Linked DNA regions of Nothobranchius furzeri. The protein of the gene in region 3 purifies or fractionates together with the protein of the main gene of each other region. This does not show direct contact. Links are inferred from orthologs where the notes say so. Each region holds a gene or a part of one and is shown on either strand. Other genes may lie near its edges.

Region 1 (7,378 bases), on a different chromosome or scaffold from region 3:
GAGACTCACCTGTGATTCTGCCGCTTCCTCTCGATGAACTGCATCACCTGAGCAAAAAAAGACAAAATCACAATGTGTTGATGCACTTTTAAACCAAAGATGATAATCCCCTCCTGTCATCTGTATGAGCAGGGTTGGTAACATCAGCCATTAAAACTGCGTCAAACATCAGGACAGCTGAGCCGAGTCACACAAACTCAAATAAACCGAGTCCGGACCAGGGCCGTGGTCTTCTCAACCCTAACCCAGATCACCACTGAAATGGTGTCTGCTCGTCCACGGTCCAAATAAAAAACAAGTCCTAATAATCTAAGGAAATACTGATGAACACGTAAACCAACTAACAAACTCAGATGTGGTTTAATAAACACGTCAGTCAGCAATTAGGACTTGATTTTAATATCTAGTCTTCCAGAAAGTTGGTTGCAGCAGGAGGATCCGGCTAGTTTTGAAGATCTTAGGGCCCATTTCCACCCATACCTACGCAGCTCGGCCCAGTTCCAAGACATTCCCACTAATACCAGGTCGCTGTGGATCCAAGCATTCCGAACTGGGCTGAAAATGCAACATCAGAACACTTCCTGGATCCGGTTTGCTAGGGGGTGGAGTCTATGACTGGCTAGAGGGCGGAGTCACCGATTGCTCCGGAGTATTTCGTTTTGCTGCCCACAGCCTTTTCCGAGTTTCTTCTTTTAAGAGTCCGACAACCGAACTGTGTGAAGCTGTGCCGTGCAGACGCTAGTGGGAAAAGGCCATAAATGTTCGTGCTTCTTTTGAAGGGGGGAGACATAAAATCATATGAATGTTTTTACATTTTAAGAGCTCCGACATCCCTGCTCTGCGTGATCCACTAAAATGGCTCACTGTTGTAGTTAACAGTTGGATATTTAACACACAGCATCACAACACATTTCCCATAGCAGCTTTTAGTAAACTCTCATTTTCCTGATTTATACAGAAGAAAATGACTTTATGTCCTTTTTAATCGAGTCAGTCATGAAGAAAAGGGTTACCTGATCAAAACGCGTGGCGAACAGGTTGAGTGACGTCACAATCCCACCATTTGGTCCAAGACCGTACTGCTTCATCACTTCTTTGTAGTTGACGGTGTCCCTGATGTCTGTGGACGAGAGGACAGTCTGCAGACAGCCGCAGGAGCAACAGGCAAGATTTCTCTTTTTGTGTTTAAACTTTATAATTGAAATATGTTTGAGTCCAGCTGGACCTTCCTCTGTGGAGCTCACGGCTAAAAACAAGAATTATCTGACCTTAGATCACACACCTGGTGACCTGTCCAGGTATAGCCCTGTCTCGTTTATGTAAAGCTGAGATAGGCTCCGCCCCATATGACTGCTCAGGGGGGTATTCCAGAAAGTGAAATTTTCCCAAAACCAGGCTTTCTTGTGCAACCGTCCCTAAATCGGTTTTACAAACGTGGCTAGCCTGAAACCCTCCCAGTCACCATGGTAACGCATGCTGGAGAACAAACCTGCTCCGTGGCAGGCTAGCTGCTAGGCTTACTGAAGCTTTGTGAATATGATTGGACGAGGAGGCACGTTACGTCACCTTTTTCTTGTCGGTGGCTGGCAACTAGGAAGAGGTGAGTTAGCGCCACTGCTGGCCCACAGCGGTAACAGCAGCTGCAGCTTTGCTTTGGATGACTAAATTATTAATAAATGTGGAGTTTAAACTTTTAAAACTGACTTCTAATTGGATCTACATCTTAGCATGTTTTGCATTTAATCTTCATTTGCAACCAGGAGTGTTTCATTCCACTGATGTTGCTCCTGATGTCAGCATTATTAATGAGTATAATTATATACCAGCTTTAGTCTGGGATGGACCCATATCATTAACATGCTGTCCTCTTTATGAATATGTTAAAATAGCCTTAAACTACCTTACAGCTGCTAGCATAACACATGTAAATGAAACACTTCATTGGTGTGACTATATTTACTCGACATACGTGATGTTTTGTCCTCGGTGTGTAATATGAGTGCTAAACGGTTTACAGCGCTAACTTTAGGGTCACGTGACCGCCACGAACGTATCTTCTTAAAACTCACAGCAAAAACAAAGTCCTCCAGTCTCTAAACATCCGGACTCTGGAGCAGAACATGAAAACGACACATAAGTGATGAAAACTTTAAAGAGCACGTCACCTCCTACCAGGGTATAACTCCATTCCAATTTCCTGTTTGAAAAATGCACCACAAGGTGGCGTTGCCTGGGCAGACAAAGAGGGCGGAGCCGCTGACAAATACACACACACAGGCCCAATCTCAATAGTCGCACTTGCGCCCTTCGTTTGCGCGTTCCCGGCCAGGGTGTCCCGATTCTCAAGTGCGGAAGTTGACCACGTCCCCATTGCACCCTTAATCTGCACTTCACCCAAGTCTGCAGCGATGCGGACCTCTGGCAAGGGTATTACCCACAAGTCATTGCTGCAGGAGAAAAGGCTCAAGTTCCTTTTCTGAAAATATGTATTTTCTAATGAAACATCAGTACCTGCAGGCGTACACTAAATACACATGACGCCACTAAAGGTGCTTTTATAGGACACACCATGCCGGCATATCGGCGTAATATTACCGCAATGGTATGTCCATGAACGCGCTATGCCGGCATGGCGTTGCACGAATTTTGCAGCATTCGTTCCGCCTCGCTTGATAGTAATATTGGCGCATCAGCCCCTTGCCTCTGTCGGCTAAACGCGTGTCAGCCCCGCTAATCCCTTTGGAGCGACTGTGGGAGCCCCCCCCCCCCGCAAAAGAGGGTGGTCGTGTTAGTCACATGTACTGCGCGTCGGGTGCCGGCCGGAAGGAAAGCCGGCTGGACGGACGCGGAAACCATGGAGCTTTTGGCCGTGCGAGCGGACGAACAGATTAGTCGCCTTTTTACGGGGACGGTGAGAGACAGCCAGCTGTTCGACAGAGTGGTGAAACACGGGCTGAGCGGGGCGTCAAGCGGGGCAAAAAGCAGGTCACATCAAAGCTAAAGGTCGTGAAAAAGAAATTTCATCAGTCTGACGTGTCTTCCGTCTGACGCTGAATGCGCGACCCTGTACGTCACATGCGGGGGGGGGGGGCGACCAGCAACCTCCCTATATCCCATCTTGGTTTGAGAGGTGTCTGATGGCGGTTTATTCTAGCTTCAGCTTTGCTACTATAAATGCCAAAACCTTCCCCAGGATGAAGCGGCAAATCGCGTTTTAAAAACGCTACGGTCCTATAAAAACAGCTTAAGATGTGCACCCTGCTGACACTGGGACAACAGAACGGCGGTGACTGCAAGCATGAAGTGGGCAGAGGAGGAGGCCTATATGCCTCAAGTGGCATATATTTGCCACATGAGGATATTTAAAAGCATGTCATTTTGACAGACATGACAGAGGAAAAAATATATCGCAATATATATCGTTACCGCACATGCTTCAGATTATTTCGCAACATAGATTTGAGGCCATATCGCCCAGCCCTATGTGCGAGCCGTGATTTTCGATCCTCGCTGGGATTAAAGAGGACTGAATCCACTGGAAAATCATTCGTGGAGCAGGCGAAACTGGGAGGGGAGGGGAGCGCTTTGTCAAGCAGGGATTTATCAGGAGATCCCAGATGTTCTAAACTTTCTGGAATACCTTCCTGGGCAAAGTGGGGAACGTTTGAGTTTTGTGGGAAGAAAAACCCAAGTCAGAAACAACACGGAGCCTCAGATATCCAGGAAATAGACTGATCCTCACCAATGTTGGCTGGAAATGGCACCTCGTGGACAGCAGGGTCCAGGTTGATGACGTATGGAGGAGACTTCAGAGAGTGGAGGTGGGCTGTCAACCTCTGAAACACACACACACACACACACACACACACACACAGTTGAATTAATTTGTCTCCGATTAAAACTAGGCTTTAATAAATTTATCTACTAGACTTTTGAGTATAAAAATATTGAACTTGTAGGACGAGGAAAAAGAGCAGGAAAACTGCTAATCGACCCCGTACAGCACCGGGCCAACTACCGCTGGTTAACTCACCTGCCTGTTTACTAGGAAGTATTTGCTAGCATTTAGCCACCAAATTAACTCAAACCCCGTTTACGGAACGGATCTAGTCTTCAACAGAGAAAACGCAGTAGGATTTTACAGACGGAGTCCTCATTGCCTCGCCACGCGCCTCCTGGTCGGAGCTCACCTGAACGAAGGTGGTCTTCCCAGAGCCCGCCATGCCCAGAACGATGAGACACACCGGGGAGCCCACCGAACCACAGCCTCCTCCTGGTACCGAGCTCTTCTCCGGTAACTCTTCTGTGTCTGCCGCAGCTGCCATGTTGGTGGCTTCTGAACTTGCCGTCAAGGCGCAGGCAATGTCGTAAAATACAGGACGTGCAACAGCTGTGGTGACCAGCGGAGGGCGCCAAACTAAAAACAAATATTAGCAGTTATTGTTTAGCAAAAACATGTATATAGCTAAATTATTTTCATACATAGTAAATTTTGTTTTGACAGTACTCATTTTAAAAATCTGTTAAATTTTCAGTCTTTTAGGGTGATAATTATTGGTTTCCAGCCAATGGAGGCTTTATTACAGCAAAATTATTTTTCTGACAGTGAAGTTTTGATGCGTTTAGACTCAATGAGTTCACATCAAACAAACTTTGCACCTCTAAAATCCCAGCAGAACTGGTGCTGGGTGTTAGTCTTCTGTAGAAAGCTGAACATTTTCAAAAAACGGTTTGCTGTAAAAATCATTTTAAAAAACATATTTACTTCAGAAATGCCTTCATCAGTTCATTGCTGCAGTTTGAGAATCGCCACAGTGACAACTGATGTCTTTTTTTTAACTCTAAGCATCATTTTGTTGTGAAACTTCATTTTAATTCTTTTTTTTCACTACAGCCTGTCAAAGTGCTGAAAATAAAACTGACCACTGTTTTTTGGAACATGAGTTGAGTTGTGAGATCAGCTCAGATCCGTTTTGAGCTCATCTGAAATTTATCAGTAATGGATTGTCCTCTTTACAGAAGGAGGAACCAGGACTTCATGGACTGGAGCCAACTGAAGTGTCTTCAGATCAATACAGGGAATACCAAACAGCTGGTGCAGACTCACGACGCTGGGGACCATCCAGGGAACAGACGCAGAGTGAGATAGTGAGCTCCTTTAGAACCTGAATGAACTCTGTAAACTTTTTGATGGCTCATTCAAGGAGGAAGTTCTGGCCTTTCGGAGAGCAGGGGTTTCTCCTGGAGACCTTAAAATCCTCTGTTGGGATTGCAGTCATGATCTTTGGAATATTCTGATGGAGCAGCAGCAGAGAGGAAGAGACCAGGTCAGCTGATCAGGACCATTTCTATGCTGGGAAACCCACTAGACCCAGTACAGGTGATAGGAGATGGAATACTTCTATTCAAATCACCACCTTTGTGATTTTATCTAGAGAATCATAAAACAAAATTCCCTTATTTTTCTTTTTCTACTCCTTCGATCTCTCACTCGGGTAACTTAAGGTTAGGTCAGTTTAGGTTAGCTGATCAGATGATGAGGTGAGGTTGCTGTTAACGTTTTAAAGGTGGGGAACACTGAAAACATTTTAAATCATTATTTATGATCATAACAGGCCACTCTGAGTTTTTCATACAAGATGAACATGAAAATAGTCTCCTACACCTATCTCCAGTCCTGCATCAGCTTCTGATAGAAACCAGACGGTGAAATTCTAGGATTAGAAAATCCTGAAAGATCTACAGCACACTGTCACTTAACATTCATGGACTCACCCATCGGGGACGGTTGTTGTTGGTTTTGCGTCCAGGAAACGGTAGAGCATGTCTCAGCTAATAGAAGCTAATCGTTAGCATTAGCAACTCCCCCGCACAGCAGAACTCCTCTAGGCTTGAGTTAATTGTGGAGATAAAACATCAACATTGCAGCGTTAACAGCCAGTGGTAGAGTCACAATGCTGTTATCCAATCCGAGGCAAGATGTCCAAATATCAGGAAATAAGACTCCAAAGCCTGCCGTCTGAAGCTCAGCTGTTTATGTTTATTCATTTATTCATTCAGCTGTGATGTTGCCTACTAGTTCCTGAAAATAGTGCATCAGTGCTATTTTTCCCATTCCTACTAGAGACCACTGTAAGTTCAGGTCATCATTCCAATTAAAAGTTTTCCATCTATGGGCACCCACTAAATTGCATGTAGTCACTGAAATGCAGCATCAGTGACTTCACAGAAATCTCTCACACTAAGCATGATTTTGTAAAATGTGATTAGTTTAGTCCAATTCAATTCAACCAATCAGATTTCACACTGTCAGCAACATCAGTCAAGTCAAAACCAACCTCCTGAGACTTCAGAGGCATGTGTGAACCAGTCCTGTAGAACGCTCTGACACATAACCACAGGAAAGGGTCCTGAAGACCAGAGATCGGATGTCCACAGCTTATCCTGTCGTTACGGAAACGCGCTGTGATTTCTGGTGTCCATGACTACAGATTAATGACTTTCTGTTTCTGCACAAATGGGACAGGAAGTGAAAGGTCACGGACATGTGATGATCCTGCTGTTTAAATCAGTTTCTTTTGTTTCAGACAGAAGCAAAGGATCAGGGATAAGGTCGAAGAGGAAAGTACGGATCTGCTGTGGGATCCGTGCATTTAAAATTTCCCTTTTCTATCTGAGGAGGAAACTACTGTCACCGTGGTAACTGATATTGAACAATAGGGCCTCACAATGTTTTGCAAAAATGTTCTTATTACACAATCAGAGTGTGGAACCTGAAAATTGCAAAGATCTTACAGCTTAGTCGGTTATATTCTAAGACAGGTGACCCGGCAGCCGGTTCTGATGGAACGCTCTTCGTGTTCACTTGATTTAAAACAGGGGCCTCGTTTATAAAACTTTACATAAAAGATGAAGTAAAACTCTGCTTAAGCTCAATTCCTGCTTTATACATCACACCTTTCCTAGAAATGTGCTCGGAAGTTTCTGGATCACATCCAATTCCTACACACACGTTCTGCCATAAATGGTCAAAGCAAATCCCATAAAAATTCCAGGTCTAAGGGGAACATGGCGCATCTGCAAACAAGCTAGGTTTTGAAACGCAACAACGGCCAAAGAACACTCACCCCTCTCCTCGGGTATCTTCCCTGCCGGAACTGGAAACCCATAATGTCAGAGGAAACGAGACGGTGCTAAACACCAGTCGCTGTTTTAGGTCCAAACTTTTTTTGTTGTCTGTGACTTCAAATGTTCTTTTTTTTTTTTCTTTTGGGGACTCTGGTAGTTTGTCCTAAAGCTGAAGTGGTAGCAGCCGGCTGTTTCTCCTCCTCTGACATTATGAAGCGGAGAATCTCTCACACCAGTGGTGTTCTGGTGC
Region 2 (7,474 bases), on a different chromosome or scaffold from region 3:
TAATCATCATCATCATCACCATCATCACAACCACCTTCATCATCATCATCACCATCATCATTATCATCAACACCTTAATCATCATCGTCACCATCATCATTATCACCAACACCTTCATCATCATTATCACCACCCCACCTTCATCACCTTAATCATCATCATCACAACCACCTTCATCATCATCATCACCATCATCATCATCGTCACCACCACCACCACCATCATCATCATTATCACCAACACCTTCATCATCATTATCACCACCCCACCTTCATCATCATCATCATCATCATCATCATCATCATCATCACCTTAATCATCATCATCACAACCACCTTCATCATCATCATCACCATCATCATCATCATCGTCACCACCACCAGCAGCTATCATCCTCTTCATCATCATTATCATCAACACCTTCATCATCATCATCATCACCATCATCACAACCACCTTCATCATCATCATCATCACCATCATCATTATCATCAACACCTTAATCATCATCACAACCACCTTCATCATCATCATCATCACCATCATCATCACCATCATCATTATCATCAACACCTTAATCATCATCATCACCATCATCATCATCGTCACCATCATCATTATCATCAACACCTTCATCATCATTATCACCACCATCACCATCATCATTATCATCAATACCTTCATCATTATCACATCATCATCATCGTCACCACCACCACCACCATCATCATCATTATCACCAACATCTTCATCATCATTATCACCACCATCACCATCATCATTATCATCAATACCTTCATCATTATCACATCATCATCATCGTCACCACCACCACCACCATCATCATCATTATCACCAACATCTTCATCATCATTATCACCACTCCACCTTCATCATCATCATCATCATCACCTTAATCATCATCATCACAACCACCTTCATCATCATCATCACCATCATCATCATCGTCACCACCACCACCAGCTATCATCATCTTCATCATCATCATCATCACCAACACCTTCATCATCATTATCATCAACACCTTAATCATCAACATCATCATAACCACCTTCATCATCATCATCATCATCATCTTCGTCACTACCACCACCACCAGCTATCATCATCAACACCTTCATCATCATCACCATCATCATTATCATCAACACCTTCATCATCATCATCATCATCATCATCATCATAATCGTCACCACCACCACCACCTTCATCATCATTTTCACCATCATCATCATCGTCGTCACCACCACCACCACCATCATCACCTTCATCATCACCACCACCTTAATCATAGTTATCACCATCATCATTATCATCAACACCTTCATCATTATCATCACCACCACCTTCATCATCATTATCATCAACATCATTATTATTCATCATTATCATCAACACCTTCATCATCATCACCATCATCATTATCATCAACACCTTCATCATCATCAACATCAACACCATCATCATCATCATTATCATCAACACCATCATCATCACCTTCATCATCATCATTATCATCAACACCTTAATCATCATCATCACCATCATCATCATCGTCACCACCACCACCACCACCACCATCATCATCATTATCATCAACACCATCATCATCATTATCACCATCATCATCATCGTCACCACCATCACCACCACCTTCATCATCATTATCATCAACACCTTCATCATCATCATTATCACCATCATCATCATCGTCACCACCATCACCACCACCTTCATCATCATTATCACCATCATCATTATCATCAACACCTTCATCATTTTCATCACCACCACCTTCATCATCATTATCATTCATCATTATCACCATTACCATCATCATCATCATTATCATCAACACCACCATCACCATCATCATCATTATCACCATCATCGTCACCACCACTTTCATCATCATTATCATCATCATTATTATTATTCATCATTATCACCATCACCGTCATCATCATCTTCATTATCATCAACACCACCATCGCCATCATCATCAACACCTTCATCATCATTATCACCACCATCACCATCATCATCATCATTATCATCAATACCTTCATCATTATCACCATCATCATCATCGTCACCACCACCACCACCATCATCATCATTATCACCAACACCTTCATCATCATTATCATCACCCCACCTTCATCATATTCATCACCATCACCACCACCATCACCACCACCACCACCTTCATCATCCTCCTCCTCCTCATCACAACCACCACCACCACCATCATCATCATCATCAAAACCACCACCACCATCATCACCTTTATCATCATCCTCATCATCACCATCAACACCATCATCACCACCATCATCATCATCACCATCAAAACCATCACCGTCATCATCACCATCAAAACCACCACCACCACCATCAACACCTTTATCATCATCCTCATCATCACCATCACCATCAAAACCACTACCACCATCACCATCAACACCTTTATCAACATCATCAACACCACCACCATCACCACCATCATCATCATCATCATCATCAACAACACCTTTATTATCATCATCATCAAAACTACCACCACCACCATCACCAAAAAACAAAGGCTCAATCCCAATACTCGCACTTGCACCCTTCATTTGCGCGTTCCCGGCCAGTGGTGCGAGTACGTAGAGTGTTCCGATTCTCAAGTGCAGAAGTTGACCCCGCCCCATTGCACCCTTAATCTGCACTTCACCCAAGTCCAGTGATGCGGACCTCGGGCAAGGGTATTACCCACAAGTCATTGCTGCAGGAGAAAAGGCTCAAGTTCCTTTTCTGAAAATATGTATTTTCTAATGAAATTAGTTCATTTTAGGATGATTAGTTGATGCTCTAAAACTTTAAGACAAAGCAGCAATAAATGTAAATTTATTTCAAATAACTGTATAGCAGTTTGTTTAAAAGTTGTTAATAAAGGTTTTTGAAAAAGTATCACAGCAACCAGCATCCTGGCATGCGTTGCGATCAATGACGCAACGCTCCCGGTCTCAATTCTGCAATTATTTGCACACTTGTGTACTACGCACTCGAAGCCTCACAGGGCACTTTCTCCAAGTGCACTTTGCTGACGTCTGCAGGGCACAGAGCGAGTATTGAGATTGGGCCAATATTGTCCGTTTCAAATTCACACACTGCAAAAACCCTCAGGCAGTGTTTTGTGATGCTGCTTCAAACACGTGATGAGGTTGGACGTATTAAACTTTCCTGCTTCTGTTCCACCTCGGGAAGTATAACAGAATACTGCCACATGGCCGACATTGCTCTTGCTCTGTGCAACTTTGCTAGCATGCACTGTTCTGATCTTGTGGGCTTTGCATGCTGGATAGAATTGGTGGAATTAAATTTAAAGCGGAACAGACTGTTAATATCGAAGATTTTTGATGCAGTCCGATTAGGTTAAAGTCCCATAGTCATCATCACACACTGGTGAAATTCATCTGCATCTGGCCCATCCCCATGGAGAGGAGCGGTGGAGCTGCAGTGGTGGCTGCACTCGGGAATTATTTGGTGGTTTAACTCCTCAATCCAACCCCTTAAAGCTGAGTGTCAAGCTGGGTGACATTGGGTCCCATTTTCAAAGTCTTTGGTATGACCCGACCAGGATTTGAACCTTGATTTCTCAGTCCCAGGGCGGACACTCTACCACTAATCCACTAAGCTGATAAAAACCCATAAGTGTTTTTGGGCCGATATCGGACCAATTTCTGACATCGATATCAGAACGGGGCATCCCCAACTACCATCATCATAAACACATTCACCATCATGAAAGTCACCATCATCACCATCACAATCACCATCATTATAAACGTCATCTTAATCATCATCGTGAATTTTTTCCACCAACAGGATCTTTTATAACCTGGACAAATGCTGATTTGTTTACGCTGAAGGATTGACCAATGACAGCTGTTTAGTGTGTCACTGTGCTAACATGACACAAAACAAGCTAACGCAGCTAAACGACAGAATAAACGTTCTATGAAGATTTTATTGTATAACCTAGGTACTTATTTACTGATGTCCGCTCACCTCCAACGCTAAATACCTCCTCTACGTCTGACCGAGACGTTTGAGCACAAACCTTTGCCAGCAAGTATCGAGCTAACCAAGTAGCTTTAGCTTCAAAGCCGACAGAAAGAGCATCTGAGCGATAATGAGCTCTTCCAGTCCGGCCCAGTCTTCAGTCTGAGAGACAGTCCCCGTCTGGCATTAACTTTAAACTATATTAATACAGTCAACTTCATTTTAAATCACAGCTTTTTACTGATTTTAGTCGATACAACAGCGAAGGAGCCCATTAGTCACCGCCATCTTCCTCTCCCTGAAGCCGGACCGCAAGGCATCCTGGGAAACGGAGTTCTGATGTAGTCATCTCTGTTGCCAGTCTGCCACAGAGATAATGAATAAACCTGATGGATCACTGAGTGATCAATGACAGGATAAGTTTTGGTCTTTTTAAAATTATACAGGTATAAAGAAGACTGAGCTCCAACTGGATTGTTTTAGCAGTTTAAGTTTTTGATTAATTACTGGCTAATAAACAATTTCCTCTTAAAACCGCCTAACCAACGCATCAACTAAACAACCAGCTCAGATAAACAGAAACGTGTCACGCCACTACATAACATTTGAGGAATCCGCTCACTGATGCGTGCACGTTAGGGCCGTGAACATCCTTCTGCAGCCATTGAAACAAATTCTTCATTTTAAAGACGGGCTGCTGCAACAGCAGCTGATCGGATCCTTCCAGCACCTTGATCCTGTTGTAGATCAGCTGCTGACTTTGGATCATGCTTCTGTTTCATGACCCGCTTTGGTCCAACTTTCAGCTCTCACATGAGATTCTGGGCCGACTTCACACTGATGTTAATGAAACACACAGAAGCTCTCACCAAAGCCAAATCAGTACAGATATAACGGTGTTTAATCACTGGTGCTGTGGTATGTTAGTGGATCAGAGGCTGGTAAAAAACACAAGATTAATGTTTAAGATAAATAATTTTTATTTTTAAACTTAATTCAACCAAAACAATGCAAAGTTAAAACATGAAATGTTTACTTTGTAATGATAATTATATAAAACAGACACAGAACCATTCACACCAGTCAAACAGAACTCAGCTAACATTCATCAACCACCCCCAAAAAGACCACCAGCCCATCATTTGGTAATTAAAAGAATAAATCAGGTGGTGCTACAACCTCTATAAACACACATTTAACATGTCCTTTTATTATTATTGATTTATTGTGTTTGTCCCATAAAGCCTCTCTTGTAACATCAGCACCAGGAGGTTGCTGATAACACTAAACACAACATCCTATATTGCCTGTTGGTTTTCAAAATAAAATGTAACAGAAATCTTGATAGCTTGTCCACCAACAACTAGCTGCCATCATGTTCACGTCTTAAACCAACTTTTATGATCTTCTAATGTTAATTGTAAAGGTGCAGAATGCAAATCAGATTTGGTGTCAACAGAAAATTTGGCGTTCTTTTGTGCAAACGGAAACGTCTGTGGGGTTTCTCTCCATGTATTTGGGAGGCTTCGAAAAGCAAAATGAATTTAATAATGTAATCTACCTGCAATAAAACCAGTTACAAAGTTGCATCAACACAAGAGGATGAAGGAACACAAGTTTATAACTTGTTCCAGCTTTTTGCTTGTGAAGCATCACAAAAATCTGAGTCCATCCATTAGGATGTTTTAAAACAGCCGAGGCTGATGGGATGGATGTGTGAAGGCTCAGCACCAGGCTGGAGTCTCCTGTAGTCATAAAAATGTGTGTATTACATTCTGAAAGTCATACACACACACCCTTCTGGGGGTCCCTGCTTTGTGTGTGTGTGTGTGTGTGTGTGTGTGTGTGTGTGTGTGTGTGTGTGTGTGTGTGCAAGGAGGGAGGGAAAGAGGAGGAGGGAGAAAAATGCTTCAAAGTTGTGAGATTCTAATGGTTGGTATTGTGACATCATCAGGCCTGATCTCAGCGAGGTCGTTCATGTTGCCCGTGAGCTCAAGCTAAGAGGCAGTCCCAGGGCCAAGCCCCTCTGAACAGCTATCCAAACAAGCCCAGCTGCTTTTTAAAGAGGAAAATTAAACATGAGTCAGACACCCTGAGAGCAGACAAGTGAAGCCCGAGGCACCTTCTTCCTGCCTCAGAGTCCCGGGTAACCCGACTTGACCCCAGCGCTGGTAACAGAGTCTGTCCAGATTCCAGCCAGAGTTCAAGAGAGCAAAGGGCGGAGCCTGTAGTTTCACCATGGTAACTAACTGTAGGGGCGGAACCAGTAGTTTCACCATGGTAACTAACTGTAGGGGCGGAGCCTGTAGTTTCACCATGGTAACCAACTGTAGGGACGGAGCCTGTATTTCACCATGGTAACCAACTGTAGGGGCGGAGCCTGTTGAGTAGCTAATAACGCCACTAACTTTATTCACCAGCCTTTGTTTCTTCCCAGAAGGAGCTTTTTCCAATCATAAAGGCCCCAGATCACGACTGGTTGTTGGTCTGAAGCTGTATGACAGTAACTAAGTCTCATACAGACTCTGATAGATTACTGCTACACCAGGAAGTTAACACTCCTTTAAAGGACTGCTGAGGCTTAAATCTACATTTTAAAAGGAATTAAGGCAGAATTTGGCACATCTGATGTACGAACTTCCAGGACATCAGCAGCGTTAGGGTTAACATCAGCAGGGTTATTCAACTGCAGGTCAGTGTTTGGAACATGCTCCTTCAGGTAAGAAACTGTGAGGGCAGAATTTTAACAGGCCAGACAGCACCAGGCTATAACAGAAAACCCAAGGACAGAGCAGGAGGGGAAACAAGGAGGAGTGTACTCTCAAAACTCTAATCAGAACAAGTCTAGCTTATTTCCTGATTGTTTCAAACTCAAATGTCTACAGCAGCAATGTGAAGAAGACCTTTCCTTCTTCAGACCAGCCCAGCATCCTTTGCCATCTTGTAAAAGGGTCCTCTCTCAGCAATGAGCCTAGAGGGAGAGTCAAACTCCACCATCTGTCCTTTTTCCAGTACCAGAACCCTGAAGGAGACAGAACATACAAACAATTTAGGTTCTTCAAGCTGCACAACAAATACAGATAAATGAGAAATCAAAAGTGTTTTACACAGTAGATAACGTTGGTTACGTATTATAACCCCAGATTCTATGAGTCTAGTCGCAGCCCTTAAGCTAGCTGCTATTGGAAGGATGATCTTCAGCATCATGAAGAGCTTAAATGTACACCCACCAATGGTGGGCACCCCTGTGGGTATATAAGTGGAGCAACTCCACTGTTCACCTCCGATGGCTCTTAGTCCTAACAGAACCAGTGGGGCCATTGGCTTAAGGGCTGCGACTAGACTCATAGAATCTGGGGTTACAATACGTAACCAACGTTCTACTTCGTCTAGTCTTAGCCCT
Region 3 (7,848 bases):
ACACACACACACACACACACACACACACACACACACACACACACACACACACACACACACACACACACACACACTCAAACACGCACAGCTTGAAGGAGGGATTTCTATCCAATCAGTGAGAACAGGACGTGCACATTGATTGGACGAGGTTTTTCTAGGATGGTAAGTTTCAATTGTGATTAAAATTATTCTTTATTTTGAGAAAAAATTATTTTTAGATGCCATCAGCATGTGAGGTATCTCAATGTTTTCATGACAAAACTCTAACATGAGACTGTGCTCTAACCTGTCACATAACAAGCTAAATGAAAGTCAAACATTTCAGATGGACCGTATGACAGCTGCTAACGTTGGCCCTGCCCTACTTTACCTCTACATTACAGTTCCTTTATCCATGTCCATCCTAGACCTCCTCTCTGACCTTCATGCGTATTTAGAGCAGCTGATTTTTAAAGTTAGCAGAGTTCATCTTTGGTAGTGGGTTCACTCACTCATTTAACCCTTCACCACTGAAATCAGTCTGTTCATTCCAATCCTCCTAAATAATCCTCCAATTGTCCAACTGGAATCCTTCCAGGTGTTACTAGAACTAACGGTGTCTCCTCACCAGCGTGAGCCTCCAAACTGTGAAGGTTGGACTCCAAACATGAACTTTAAATTCATGCATTTATCTCGTCTTGTAGCACATTAACATGTTTTAAAAGGCTTGTATCATGATATGTTACACCTCCCAGACCAAAGATAAGATAAAATATTATCATAGACACTGACGTCATTATTTATGAAATATAAGTTATTTTCCTGAGTCATTACTTCAGCCAAGATATAAGATGCATGGATTTGATGAAACCATGCTGTCTCATGCAGTCCTATATGTGTACACAAACACACACACACACACACACACACACACACACACACACACACACACACACACACACACACACACACACACACACACACACACACACACACACACACACAGCAGCATGTTAGAATCATTTGAATGACTAATTTAACTACATTGAACTGCTTTAGTAATAATTTAATCTCTTATTCTGGAGTAAAATAAAGAAACAAGCTAAATCATCACATATCTGTGGCATCAAGAAGCATCTTCTGAGTTCAGACACAGGGATGGAGCACAATGTTTACACCTGAACAGTATCAGGATGTTTTAACTCACAGAGGCCTGCAGGTCTTCTGTTTGATGAGCAGAGCGCTGATAATCCGCTTGTTATGAGCGCTAAACGTTATTTTGCTGCTTCCATGCGGAGCGGTAGAGAAACACATTTCAAACACGGAACCGAGTCCGGCTACCGAACCGAGCAGATTTCTGATGACGTCACACCGGTGCGCGAAGGTGCGGGTTCCAACCCACAGGAGAGAAGAGAGAGAGGAGGTAAACAGCGAGTTGATCGACTGAACTGATGTCTTTGAGCAAAAGACGCGGTGATCATGCAGGTGTCTCTTTCTGTTCCGACGCTGCAACACGTAATATTTTTAATTTATTAAGCCTATAATTTATTTTTACTCAGTAATGGATATCATTTAAAATGTAGTGAATTACAATTCTTTTTTAAAAACTTACTCAAGTAAAAGTAAAAGTACAGCTTTTAAAAACGACTTAAAAAGTATAAATATACAAAAAAGCTACTCAATTACAGTAACGTGAGTAAATGTAATTCGTTACTTTCCACCTCTGCCAAGTAGCACCAAAGTTGTCAGCGTGAGTAAACAAACGTACTGCATGCTAGAAATTAAGTCCGGGTTGCAATAAACAGGAGTTTTCCTTTAAGCACATAAGCGTGAATATACAACTACGTGTTGGACTTGGTATGCTAATTAAGTTGGGCTGTGAAGCGCCTCCCAAATTCGCTGTTTATGTTTTTGTTTATTTATTTGGCAGACAAAACTTGGATCGGAGACAACTCGCGTGGGAAATTGCAATGTAGCCATGCGGCGTCTTCTTCTTCTGTTTGTCTGGGAGGCGGAGGCTGCTTTACGGCATCTGGCTGTCGTGCGTGTCGGTGTACTTGAAGAAGGCTGTGTATAATAGTCCATAATATCGATACCACAGGGATGGAATATCTCATTTAGATACCACTTTTAGTATCGATTTATATCTGGGTATCGATTTTTTTGACAACACTAGTAGCCACAGCTGCCCTGGGGTGCTTTGACAGAGGCGAGGCTGCCGAGCACTGGCGCCACCGGTCCCTCCGACCACCACCAGCAGACAATGTGGGTTAAGTGTCTTGCCCAAGGACACAATAACAAACTGAGCGGGGCTCAAACCTGCAGCCTTCCGATTACGGGGCGAGCACTTAACTCCTGTGCCACCGTCGCCCCAAGGGAGCATGAGGCAGCATTTTCACGCATGGATCAGCCACCACGGTCCAGACCTCAACCTCATTGAGAATCTTTGTGATGTGCTGGAGAAGGATTTGTGCAGCGGTCAGACTCTACCACCATCAATGCAAGATATTGGTGAAATATTAATGCAACACTGGATGGCAACAAATCTGGTGACGTTGGAGAAGCTCATCGAAAGAACACCACTGCGAATGTGTGACGTAATCAAAGCTAAAGGTGGTCCAACGAAGTATTGGAATGTGTGACGTTTTTTGGATGGCAGCTTTTCTTTGGGCCAGGCAGTGTGTATAAATAATATGAAGTAATAAGGAAACATGAACTAAACAACTGTAGTGACTTTAAAAAAGAACATAAACTCACAATGTCATTCTTGTCGACTCGTGTTCCCACGATCTTCAGCCGGATCTCATCATCTTGCTGGATTACAATGTCCTATAAAAAGTAAGAAGCATCAACAAAAGTGTGATAGAGCAACATTTACACATTAGGGGGAAAAAAAGCAGAACTTTTTACATGCTGAAGTTGATTTTTATTAATATGACTGTTTAAACAAGCAGCAGTAAAATAGAAAAGTTACAGATATTCAACCTCATCGCCAGTCTTGTAGCAAGGTGGATTAGAATTGGGGTCGAACTCCATTTCTGTGGGGATGGACTGAAAATAAAAATATGATCAAAACAACATTAAATAAATAATGAAATAAAAAGATGATTCTAGTGAAACCGATGCTTTAACAGACTTACATGGCGAGAGATGAAGCAAGACATGGGACCGATTTCTGTGAACAATCCAACCTGCAAGCAAACAGAAAAAGGTTAAAAAAGGCGAGGCGCAAACGTACTGGCATAACAATCCTCAATTTGTTTAGTTTTCACAAGCGTGAAGTTCTGCTAAAGAATTAAGATCTGCTACGAAGAACAATGACTAAAGATGAGTGAGCCATACCTTGTTAACCTGAGTGACCACAGCGTCCACCACCTCGCCCTTAAACGGGCGGAAAACAATGGCCTTGTACTTGACTGGATAGAGGACAAAACCTCTGCCTGGCTGGATGACACCCGCTCCGATGTTGTCGATAGTGGTTACTGCAATGACAAATCCATACCTGGGAAACAGAAAAAACAAAAGAGTTAATCCAACTTTTTAACAAGGCAGCAACACGTTGATCTAGTTATGCCATAGTCAATGTTTCATTAACGCTTTCAGTCGTTGCAAAGCCCAGTTAAAGTTATCATGAACAATAATAAAATGCTGTTACTCACTTGCCAGTACAAGTTCCCTCTACCTCTGTGAAAAGCTTCTGCTTCACGGTGTTAAGTAGATTGGGACCGAAGTACCTGGGGTGGAGAAGGATTTCATGCTCCAAAGAAATCTGTAAAGTGCAACAAAATCCTTCATCTGTAAATTGGTTGTGCACACGTTCGTATTTTAAAAATGCATAAACCAGCCTCTGTAGATTGAGTAATGGATGAATAAAATGTCACGTTGATTAAAAATATGAAAACTAGTCCAGGTTAGAAGAAGAGGGAAAGACTACGACGTTGTTGATAAACGATCCAAATCGAAACATCCATTAAGCCTTCAGCTACCCCCGATTACGAGAACAATGTACATACTCACGTGATAAAACATTTCTTGATAAGTTTAAATTCCACCTTAAAAATATACTTTTAAATACGTCGAAGTGGCTTCTCTTGTTCTTTGTTGAAAGGGAATCATGGACGTCCGGCGTAGAAGAACCTCTTCCGGGTCAAAGAGGATTCTTGAAATTTTGTTGTAAATTGTATTGTAACGGGAAATAAAAAAAATAAAATTATCTTCAGGGATTTTTAAAAACTGTTTATTTAAAAACAATTAACGGAATAAGTAATCCGATTTAAACGAGTTCCACCGTCGGTTCATTTTAATACTGCTTTCTTGTGGCGAGGAAGTATTACTGCAGAGAGGCGTGGAAAACAATAGGCGTGACTGAAAGCCGCTCTGTGATTGGCTGTTTTTTAGTGGACTCTTATCTGACACACAGACGAAGCGAAAACAATTTATTTAGGTGAAAGTAATCCAACTTTAGCACAATCGTCATGTTGTTTAGCGGTCATTGGGACCACACTACAGGTGGTTTGAAGTTTTAAAGAACGAAATAGATTAAAATAAACAATTCTGCTACATCATTAGAAAGAAAATAGGAATTTTGTCTCCGTGGTTAAAATTACTCTCCAAGTCCTCCTTCTGTCATGGCGAGCAACCTCGTTTTCAAGTTGCTTCGTCTTCCTGTCACCTCTAAAATTGTAAGTAGCGAACCGTAGATTTGATTGTGTGTTTTGTTTATCTGACTCTTCGGCTGTCTGTGCAGGCGTGTCTCCGGTCGGGTCGCTTGTTTCGGGGTAAGGTGGCTGCAGTGGCGGCTGGGACCAGACCGTCCTCCGGCACCCTTCCGGAGAAGATCAGCCGCTATCCCATTCCTTACAAGAAGGACCTGCCTTATGATATAGTTGAGCTCATGGAGGAAGTGGAGTCAAAGGTTTTAAATTAAAACCAGCCTTTAGGTCTCGCGATCACACGCCTTTATCATTAATCTGCTCATATTTGTGCACAGGGAGGCTTCCTGCCAAATGTCTTCAAAGCCCTCTCCCACAGACCAGCTGAGTTCAGAGCCTTCTTCGCTTACTACAATGAACTGATGAACAAGGACACAGGTTGGTTTTTTCTGATGTAGTGGCCTCAGTTCAGATAAATACAGACACACGATGCAGTGTTTAGAATAAAAAGCAACCCGTTCTTCAGCACCTTCAACCCTCCCAACGTGTCCAAGCCAGGGTTCAGTGAACTAAACACTTCGTTCACTTCTTATTTGTGTTGCAAATAAGGATGTTTGTCCTGTGTTATGACTCAACAGGACTAGAGGATAACCTTTTGTAGAAGCTGTGATGCTGGATTTGTTCCAGCGGATGATCACGTGATGAAAGTGAAAAAAATTGTTAAATATATTTTCAATAAGTCAAGTTTAATTTGTGTCTCTACCTCTTTCTGTTTTTGCAGAACAATTGGGAGGAATGTGGATTTTGTATGTATTATGTTAACTAACTGAACATCTAAAGAAAACAGGTGACTCTTAAAGTTAGACTGCAAGTGTTAAACAGATGATCAAGCAGCTAACGTTTTTATTTTAACCCTCCCACTGTCTTTATGGGTGACCCCGCAAGGAAAGGGGTGAGGCGGTGCTCACTACTCACCCCTGCCACATGGATTCAAGGGATAAACCATCAACCCTGCTCAATGGTCTGTTTTCCTCGCGGGGTCACGCCTATTAGGACAGTGGGAGGGTTCAAAACACAAAACGACTCTTAAAGAGATTTTTCCCAAACCGTTCCAAACTCGACCAGGTACCTGAATCTTAGTATCAGCCATGCTCTGCTTATGATTTCAAGTTTCTCCTTCATATAGCCATCTAAGAAAAGTTCTTACAGGCTTTTATTTTAATCGAGTTAGTCATTAACTGAGGAGTGGAGACAGGAGATTATTGAGGAGTATAAAAAAAACTCCTCAAAGTCAAGATGCAAAACAACATGGAGGTTTAATCGCAGGGTAGGAGACCCGTGGCTTTAAGCAGAAGAATCAGATTGATGACAAACCCTGAACTGAACATGTTCTTTTATAGGTTCAGTATAAAATTCTCTCCTCTAACCTCCCTTGACCCACAGCTTCCCTGTCACACATCCGCCTGCTGCTGCAGCTTCATTATGAGATGCCAGTTTCCCTCTGGGATTAAATTTTTATTTGAATTAACCAAGCATCTGGAGGTTGCATTGTGGCACAGTTAGTAGAACTGTTGCTTGCAGCAAGGTGAGCAGGTACAGTCTTTCTGCACGGAGTTGGCACGCTCTCCTCGTGCATGTGTGGGTTTACTGGTAGAGTTTAGGCAACATCTCCCGAGGGAGGGGGGGAAGGGCGGGAAAGAGAGAAAGGCAATAAAACCCTTAATTCCTCAAGCCCTCAACAGAAATGTGCGTAGGTGACAACCAATGTAATGCTTTGTCCTTTTGTGCTGTTTATGTCTTCCAGGCGGGTTGACAAAAGCAGATCGTGAGCTGATCATCGTTGCAACAAGCAGTCACAACAAGTGTCTTTACTGTGTGGTTTCCCACAGCGCATTGCATCGTGTCTACTCAAAGAAACCAACACTCGCGGATCAGGTGAGAGTCTTAGGTCGTTTGTGTTCCACTTAAGAGCATTCATGAGACAGCTGGAGAGTGTTGATGGCCTTGGAAGGTGTACTCTGGGGGAAAAAAAGCTCTGGTGCATCTGGTTAACAAACTAGAAGATTGCCACATCAGAGGCCCAGTCCCAACACGGCATTCATGGCGGTTGATGTTTTGTAAAGAAAATGCAAACTTAGCGCTATAATAACCATTCTGTCCAATTTTGCTAAATAGTCTGTTTTTTATTTTATTTTCATTTATTTATTTATTTTTTTTTTTAAACCCTTGTTGCATTTTTCACACTGTTGGACTTGTTTTATATCCTTTGGCTCTCAAGCATTGGGTTATCTTATTAAAGCTGAGGACAACATGTGTGTGCCTTACCTGGGTATGAAGTGTAATAAAACTGCCCAGCTGTGTGCAGCAGGTTTGCTTCTCTTCTAGAATAATAAAATCTGTTGAAAATCAGGTCTAAATCACAATCAGCTGTGAACTGAATGATGCACATTTGAACCGACGATGAGAGATGTGTCCAGCCTTATCCTATGAAAGTGAAGACGGAAGAGATCCTGTGGTAATGAGGCTAGCCCAATGCTTGAGAGCCAACAGGTAAAGTCAGTCCAACAGTGTGATAAAAGCAACAAGATTTATTACAAGTACACATTTGATGTTTTTTATGAAAGAAATGGAAACCAGTTTGTTGCAAAAGAGGACAGAATGCTTTTATGGCGCTACGTTCACATTTTCTTCAAAAAAAAAAAAAACTCAAGACATAAATACCCTGTAGCAGGGAGACTGTTTGCTGTTGCATCAAATAGCCAATCGTAGGAGAGTCCTTTCAGCCAGTCAGAGGCAAGAAAGGCTGGACCTTCTTTGGACTTCGGCCCAAACTCGCACTGCTCTCTGCAGTCTTCAGCAAAGTGTACTTGGAGGAAGTGCACACTAAGGCTTTGAGTGTGTAGTATACAAGTGTGCAAATATTTGCCGAATTGGGACGGTGACTGTTGTGTCGTCGACCACGACGCGTGCCGGGATGCTGGTCGCTGTTTGTGCTACTTTAAAAATGTAACGTCCAAAAGGGTCCATTTTCATCTATATATTCACCAGCATGGTGACCTTTCATCTAAGCATTAATCCACTCTCTATTTGGCCTTCCAGAACCAGAAGGTTCTGTTCGGCGCGTGTTGACATTCCATGAAGACAAACATTCTCTCCTAAGGTCCTACACTCTCTGCATGAATGCCAGACGTAAACATTCTTCACCCTGAACAAGTGA
Region 4 (7,366 bases), on a different chromosome or scaffold from region 3:
CACTCTGATGGCATGAAGCTTACTTCATCCAGTCCACGCAGAGTCACGTTGGTGGTCCACCAGTAATCCACGGAGATAAAGACTCCCACGGATAAAGACCTGAGGGCACAGGCAGAGATGCCACTGGGACTTTACAGGTTTTTTTCTTTCCTACAACTCGTAACGGATCGTATTTATGTGATTTTCTGGAAACTTATTTAGTAAAACATAAATATCAGTAATTAAGCCATATGCACAACACGGATAAAAGCCAGTGAATCATGCTGGCAGTTTTAACTTTGATGTTTTCTGAACGTGTTTCTTCGTGCGAACAAGAGCAAAATCAGTTCCAAAAGACTCTGTTCAATCAGCGTTGTAACAAAGTTCTGTTGAAATTATCGAGTAAATAAAAAAACACAAACACACCTGAAGAAACGTCCAAATCCCTCAATCACGATTCTCATCTTCCTCCTCTGCCTGTGGTCTGACACGGCATACTGGGCACCCACCACCACAGGTACGCTGACTGAGAGGCCTAAAAGGGTCTTCCATAGCAGCTCTCTACGTTTCCGCTCCCTGGAAGGGTTAAAACAGTTCTGTTTAACTAAGGAAGAGGATTGTTGAGGGTATAAAACTCTCTTTGACACCTGAGTGAGCAGAAGGATCTGGTTGTTTGGAGAGGCAAACCATGATGTGAAGATCTTTGTAGAAGAGCCAGGTGGTGACTGCATATTCTTAACTGGGAAACAAAAAAACAAAATCCTTTGTAACCCAGCAACACACAGGTAAGCTGATAGTGAGAAAAGATCAGATTAGTAGGTTTGGAACAGGGATTCAAGCATGTGTGCATGTTTATATACTGAGAGGGATGGGAATGGAGTCCCATCAAGGCCAGTCCGGTGTTGTTTTTGTACGCTGACTCAACACGGGACAAAATGTCTTTACTGCTGACAAATTGATTTACAGATAACGGGGGGTGCCAGTGACCTCCACATCAAAGGTGGTTTTCTGTCGGTCCAGTGACACCCTCGCAGGGTGGCCAGAGGGGGCCATGGCCACCCCTAGAAAACTGTTGGCCACCCAATTATGTTTTAGTTAAAATGTATTTAAATGTTATTAAATTCTATAACAATTAAATTGGAAACAATAATTAAAATAACAGCATAAATTGTCTTTTTTTCTAAAATGTTTCTATTTCTCGGATTTTAGGTAAAAGTGTTTTTAATGAGAGAAATTGAAGGCACAGAGCAATGCGCAGCTACAGGCTAAAGCCTGATTCATGCTTCTCCGTCAGAGCGGAGACACGCAACACCATTATCCGTCCTCGCGGGCCTGCCGGAGAGCTCCGCAAGGACGGACAGAGTCTAGCTCTCTTTTCTAAACATCCATCCGTCGAGACGGACAACGCAAGCTTGTGATTGGTCAGGACGCCGCTGTTGTCTACACCGCCGCCACTGCGCCCTCAAAAACATAAAGAGAGCCGAGCGGCAGAAGCGGAGCAGCTTGAAGAATACCTCGCAAAAAAAAACCTAAAAATATGAACGTTTAATCCCCCGTGACTGGAGGAGTGAAAAGATGCGCAGCAAGCGTTTTATTTGTGGATGGAAATGACAGGAAACGTGGGTTTCGAGGTGGCGAGCGCATGAAGAGGTGGAGGAGAATGAGAGACAAATATGTCCGTGTTAAAAAGTCTCTTATATACAAAAAACACAATATAAACACACTATCTTGGACCGATACATGACAGGATACCACAGAACAGCGCTACGCCCTCTGCTGTCCTGGCGGGGAAGTGCATTGCAACGCTCCACAGGAGACGGAGAACATCTCCGTGCGTGTCTCTCCCTGTTGGAGCTGATGGAGAAGCATGAATCAGGCTTAAATCCTCCATTATTTACCACAGGAACAAATTTGGTGCCATCTCAAATTTTGCACTGGCTCCCCTCGAAGAAAACTTTCTAGGAGCGCCACTGCGTCAGGCACACATTTAGACCCTTGAGGACCACAGATGTACTGGACCAATCAGGAGCTCAGAGTAACGAAGAGACAGTTTTTGTTTAGTTGCCAAACTGAGATGGAACTTCAAACAACAGATGTTTTAATGCAGTGAAATATGAATAAATAAATATATTAAGTTGAATTAAATGACTATCAACTTGCACATCTAGCTTTACTAGTTGCATAGCTTGATGATAGCTAATAATCGTTAGCTGTTAGTCAACAGGTTAATATCAATGACTATCTTTGCCAAAACGATCTAGACATAGATTCAGATTTTTGTTTATTTACCACTCCAGAAGTCCCCCATGTCATGCTTCCCTCTGATAATATTAACACCCTGCTCACAGCCGTGAATTCTTGTCAAAGAGGTCGCCAGCAGTCTGAGAACCTTCTTCAGCTAACACTAGCATGACTTTTGGTCAGAAGACTGGAGTGCAAGAGAAACCGCACCCACCCACTTCCGTTTTCGTCTTCTTATTTAAAAATAAAATCGTGGAATCCGCTGAGTCCAATATGAGTGCATGTCCTTATTTTATACAGTTGGTAAACACGCACAACTTTCTGTCATTTTGAATTGTAAACTGGAATAAAGTGCACAGAAGTAAGTTTGAAAGTCCAGTGTAATACACGGTTTTGAAGACCAAATGTGTGATCCATTGAATTTTATCAGCGCTTTTAATTTGAAGGGCAAGTAGAAAAGTGTCCCGTTCTTCCTGTCCGCCTGCTTACCGGTGTCATGTCGAAAAAAGCACCCTAGCCATGAAGCGTAAGATTTGACGTCAGTCCAAAATCTGCAAAGATTCTATTACTGTGTGCTTTTCAGTGTAAATACGATCATCTCACTTCTAAACAAAATTAAAATTACTCCCCGTAAAATGTGGTGTTTTAAAAATCGTATGTAAAAAATATGCAACACAACCTGATTGACATCAAACTTTCATTCAAATGTTATTTTCAAACCTTTTCCCTGACCAGTGTGACAGGGATACACTTTTCGGCAAACCCCTAGCTTTGCGACGTGCGTCGCTGCAGTGTTGCGCTTTCCTGTTTACGGGCGGGAAGAGCGAACGAGACAGCAGCCACGGTGTTTAAATCTCCAGGACATTTGTTTTATTGATCAAACACGTGATTCGTTTGCTACATTGACACACTGGCCATCGCGAGGTGGGTTTGATACGTATAAAGTGGACTGGTGCAGAAAACGAAAGAGGTTCTGGAGACTGCAGGACAGATGGAGGATCCTCCTGCTGATTCTGGTGGCGGCGGCGGCGATGCTGCTGCGGAGGGCCCCGCAGTGCAGGTGGCAGATATGTGCTCTCCCAGCGGGGCTCTCCCTCTGCGGCTTCTAGAGTGGAAAGTCAAGCCCGGATCTCTGGTTAACGTGGACTCTGTGCTGGCACTGTGTGCTCCCATGCCTCGGGAGAAGGGGACGGGGGCTGCCAGGCTGCCCGAGAAGAAGGTGAAATCAGACCGTTCTGGAGTAGTGAAGGAGCTAGGTTGTCAAGTTGGACAAATCATTCCTCCAGGGTGAGTCGCTCTGTTTACTACAGCACACCCCTTCTAAGAAAATCTACAGCCAAACAAATAAAAAAAAGTTTTGAAAATACTTTTTTGAAAGCATCCCTGCTTGAACGTCAGTTAGCCAGTAGCTAACACGGCTAACTTGATTAGCATTGTTGCTAGTAAGTTAACCCTAAAACAACAGTTGTCTTGGAAGTAAGAGCGGAAGTTCGTATACGTCAGTCTCAGAATTGGTTTTAAACGTCGTATTGTGAATTTATCCAATATATTATGGAACATGTGTGGAAATAAAAGTGTGTGCGATCACCGCTGCTGTAAATTCAAAGCTGCGTTTTTCAAGAAGAGCAGGCGATACTTTTATTTTGAAAGCACCACCATGCTGGGCAGTGTTGTGGTGTGTTTGAGTCAACAATCAGATCAATATAGGAAGAAAACAACACGTTTGCACAGTGCTGTCAGGGACGTTTTCAGGTTTTAGACAGTCAGGAAACAGGAAAATCATTACCTCACTCTTCATTTACTGATATAAACCTGAAGTGATGTAATTATATTATTGCCTATTCTTGTGGCCTTCAGGTGCATTTTGTAAAATCCTACTTCAAACAAAAAAAAAACCATGCTGTTTTTTTATTTGCAAACATGACAGCTTGATACTAATCAGGATTTAACTCAGCCTTAATTGTACTACAATAAAAGTGTTGCCTTCATTGGATGAATCAGCTTTATTTAATTTAATTCTAATTACATAGCAGCACCAGTGTGTGTGTAGCCCATTTATTTGTAATAGTGTAAATAGAGACAAACATCTATATGAGCCACAATAGCTGAAATACGTGTTTAATAAACATGTGGGTGCTGTAATAATTGTTTTATTCTCTCACCATCTGTCTTTTTAGTGGTGTCATCGTCAGGATTGAACAGTGCAGCCATCCCATTGTCATGAAGGGCTTGTGCGCCGAGTGTGGCCAGGATCTTACTCAGTAAGGACACATTGACTCAGAATCTACTTGTTTTCAGCTGTTGCTCCTCCTTTCCCAGTTCCAGATGTGGATGGACATTGTTTCTGTTTAGTTATTGTTGGACACATGCTGATCATTTAAAAAAGTTGGTAAAATAGGCTGAATAAATGTCATGTTGCAGCGAGAGCAGTGTTTGGTACTAGGGCTGTCGCGGTAACCGCAAAAATGAAATATCGCGATATGAAGAAGCCCACCGCGCTGCATCATGCGCCACCGCGATTACTGAACTTGGTTCAACTCAATGATGCATGTTGAGAAGGATGGCTGCACTGGTATCAAAACGAAACGTTACTTCGCTCCTTTGGGAGCACTTTGGTTTTCAGTACGTCAGCTGCTGCGCAGCCAGAGTCCTTGGCCGAGACAGAGCTGCCACCAGCGGCAAAAATAAATAAATAAATAAATGCTCGGAGACCTGCTGAAGTCCCGGACAAGCACTGCTTCTGCAACCGTCCCGAAGAGAGTTGGAGCCGAGCTGGAGCTCACTCGCTACCTGCAGGAGGAATGCATCCACCCTAAAGAAACCCCCTGACATGGTGGAGCAACAACCGGGAGAGATTCCCTTTGCTCGCCAGAGTCGCACGCAAGTACGTGTGCGTTAGCGCAACGAGCGCACCATCCGAGAGGGTTTTCAGTGTTGCTGGAAATGTTGCCACCCCTCTCAGATCCTCTCTCAAACCGTAGTTAACATGCTGGTTTTCCTTGTAGGTAACAAGGACGTGGCCGAGCTATAAAGCACCGTCATTCGTGTGTGTGAAAGTGAAATGATAGTGCGCCCGCCCCCCGGCGCGCGCGCGTGCGCCCGGTACATGTAATTTTTTATGCTTGATTTTAAACAACTAAACAAAATGGGGACTTGTTTCTTATTTGTTAGATGCTGCAGCCAAATTTGCATTTAAAAGTTTAACCTTCTCCTGAATTTTGTTGTTTTTAAGTTCAGTCGGACTCCGACTGTCGGAGAAACAAACGTTACTGCGATCTGTGTTGTTACTGCCCTTTGATCTGCATTCAGTAAAGTGTTATTAAAGAAGGCACGGCAATTTTTAACCTTTTTTAAATGTGTAAACATTATGTTTAGATAGTACTGCAATAAAAAAGGGCTGCAATAATATCGCACACCGCAATATTAAGCCACCCTGAATCACCGCAGGAGGAATTCCTCAACCGCGACAGCCCTATTTGGTACTGGGTGTTGTTCTGTGTGGTGCCAGCGGGTGGCACCAGAGATCACACATGGATGTTAGGTGACTTTGATGCATTTCAAGGATGTTTATATAATTTCTGCAAGGTTAGCATGTTACATATATTTAACCAAAAACAAGACTCAACACCGAGTCGTCATATAATCTGATACATGGCTTTTGCTACGCTGGGTACAGCAAACACCCAGGTGGTAAGGGTTCATTCTTCCTCATCAGACAATAATGAGTAATAAAAACAACATATGAGGGGAAATTATGTTATGATACTGAATTGCCATTTAAAAGCAACGGATAGATTTTTTTTGAGAATTTACATGCAAACATTAACTATTTATTTTGTGTGGTGCATTTCAAACTCCGACTGCTAGGTGGCAGCAGTGTGTACCACCTTCATTCTGACGGAACAACCAGATCTCGCGATGACACGAGCTGTGTGTTGGAAGTGTGTGAACCGAGTTTTCCAGTTAAAATTTTGGGGGGTTCATTTACAATTAAACCTAATCGATCAATAATCAAAATAATGAAATCATAAAAGTCTCAACTGTTTTCAAACACGCTGCTGGTAGAACAAGAACAAAAGCTAAACCAGAAAAATGTGACGCTGCATGTATTTAATACAGAGACCTCAGCAGTGAGATAAAATGTCAGGGCATGCTTTTGTGGCTTAATGAGTCCACGTTGGGGGCTCTGGACGCTGAACTGCTGCAGGCATGAATGCATGCATTTGCATGTTTGTAATAAATCCTTTCAGTCACAATCTGCTGAAGGGTCTGAGAGATGCACAGAGGGCAGAACTCCTACTCTCTCTCTCTCTCTATCCCATCGTAGGCTCCAGGGAACAAACGGGAAGCAACAAGTTCCCATCTCCACAGCAACAGTCTCCATGGTTCACAGTGTCCCTGAACTGATGGTCAGCTCTGAGGTGAGTTATATGATGGAAGTGTGTGTGTGTGTGTGTGTGGCTTCATATAGCTTTATTAGAAAATTTCACTTGCCTGCAAATCTGTGAAAATTACAACATTAAACCAATAACACTCCAATATTATGTGAGGTTATATATATACATGTGTGTAGTTGAACTTTATCCTACATTGTCCTTTGTTTGCATTAATTTGCACAGCAAGCCAAGCAGCTGGCCAGAGAAGACCAGCAGAGACTCCATCGAAACAAGAAGCTGGTCCTCATGGTGGACCTGGACCAGACTCTGATCCACACCACTGAGCAGCACTGCCATCGCATGTCCAATAAGGTAAAGCCGGCGCCTGCTGGTGCTCACAATAACATCACAATAATGAGACTGTTATGTTACAGTGGTGCTGTTAAAGCAGCAGTCTGGAGCTTTCCCCCTTTAGGAATCGTCGTCGTCGTCTTCCTCCGCTTATCCGGGTCCGGGTCGCGGGGGCAGCATCCCAATTAGGGAGCTCCAGGCCGTCCTCTCCCCGGCCTTGTCCACCAGCTCCTCCGGCAGGACCCCAAGGCGTTCCCGGACCAGATTGGAGATGTAACCTCTCCAACGTGTCCTGGGTCGACCCGGGGGCCTTCTGCCGGCAGGACATGCCCGAAACACCTCCCCGGGGAGGCGTCCAGGAGGCATCCTGACCAGATGCCCAAACCACCTCAACTGGCTCCTTTCGATCCGGAGGAGCA

The links.
Region 1: the proteins of polr2g (region 3) and gpn1 purify together in Homo sapiens (affinity purification with mass spectrometry; 4 studies listed by BioGRID and IntAct, counting the BioPlex papers as one, with this or other methods). This does not show direct contact. The link is inferred for Nothobranchius furzeri from reciprocal best matches to the Homo sapiens genes POLR2G and GPN1.
Region 2: the proteins of polr2g (region 3) and scaf1 purify together in Homo sapiens (affinity purification with mass spectrometry; 3 studies listed by BioGRID and IntAct, counting the BioPlex papers as one, with this or other methods). This does not show direct contact. The link is inferred for Nothobranchius furzeri from reciprocal best matches to the Homo sapiens genes POLR2G and SCAF1.
Region 4: the proteins of polr2g (region 3) and ctdp1 purify together in Homo sapiens (affinity purification with mass spectrometry; 4 studies listed by BioGRID and IntAct, counting the BioPlex papers as one, with this or other methods). This does not show direct contact. The link is inferred for Nothobranchius furzeri from reciprocal best matches to the Homo sapiens genes POLR2G and CTDP1.

The regions. Positions count from the first base shown.
Region 1 is NC_091749.1:65,740,014-65,747,391, reverse strand, and holds the start of gpn1 (GPN-loop GTPase 1), read right to left. Parts: upstream 4,365-7,378; 5' UTR 4,326-4,364; coding exon 4,191-4,325; intron 3,837-4,190; coding exon 3,743-3,836; intron 1,121-3,742; coding exon 1,014-1,120; intron 48-1,013; coding exon 10-47; intron 1-9. UniProt on the Homo sapiens protein: Small GTPase required for proper nuclear import of RNA polymerase II (RNAPII). May act at an RNAP assembly step prior to nuclear import.
Region 2 is NC_091758.1:13,827,607-13,835,080, reverse strand, and holds the start of scaf1 (splicing factor, arginine/serine-rich 19), read right to left. Parts: upstream 4,365-7,474; 5' UTR 4,130-4,364; exon of another isoform or gene 4,078-4,129; intron 1-4,077.
Region 3 is NC_091741.1:90,871,513-90,879,360, forward strand, and holds the start of polr2g (DNA-directed RNA polymerase II subunit RPB7), read right to left. Parts: upstream 4,162-7,848; 5' UTR 4,009-4,161; coding exon 3,997-4,008; intron 3,749-3,996; coding exon 3,639-3,748; intron 3,482-3,638; coding exon 3,322-3,481; intron 3,171-3,321; coding exon 3,120-3,170; intron 3,031-3,119; coding exon 2,965-3,030; intron 2,809-2,964; coding exon 2,737-2,808; intron 1-2,736. Other genes in the region: uncharacterized protein si:ch211-175m2.5, read left to right, coding at 4,608-4,661, 4,727-4,894, 4,970-5,069, 6,436-6,566. UniProt on the Homo sapiens protein: Core component of RNA polymerase II (Pol II), a DNA-dependent RNA polymerase which synthesizes mRNA precursors and many functional non-coding RNAs using the four ribonucleoside triphosphates as substrates.
Region 4 is NC_091751.1:1,629,801-1,637,166, forward strand, and holds the start of ctdp1 (RNA polymerase II subunit A C-terminal domain phosphatase), read left to right. Parts: upstream 1-3,002; 5' UTR 3,003-3,211; coding exon 3,212-3,507; intron 3,508-4,397; coding exon 4,398-4,481; intron 4,482-6,547; coding exon 6,548-6,641; intron 6,642-6,839; coding exon 6,840-6,968; intron 6,969-7,366. Other genes in the region: adck5 (uncharacterized aarF domain-containing protein kinase 5), read right to left, coding at 24-99, 406-555, 627-718, 2,269-2,292. UniProt on the Homo sapiens protein: Processively dephosphorylates 'Ser-2' and 'Ser-5' of the heptad repeats YSPTSPS in the C-terminal domain of the largest RNA polymerase II subunit. This promotes the activity of RNA polymerase II.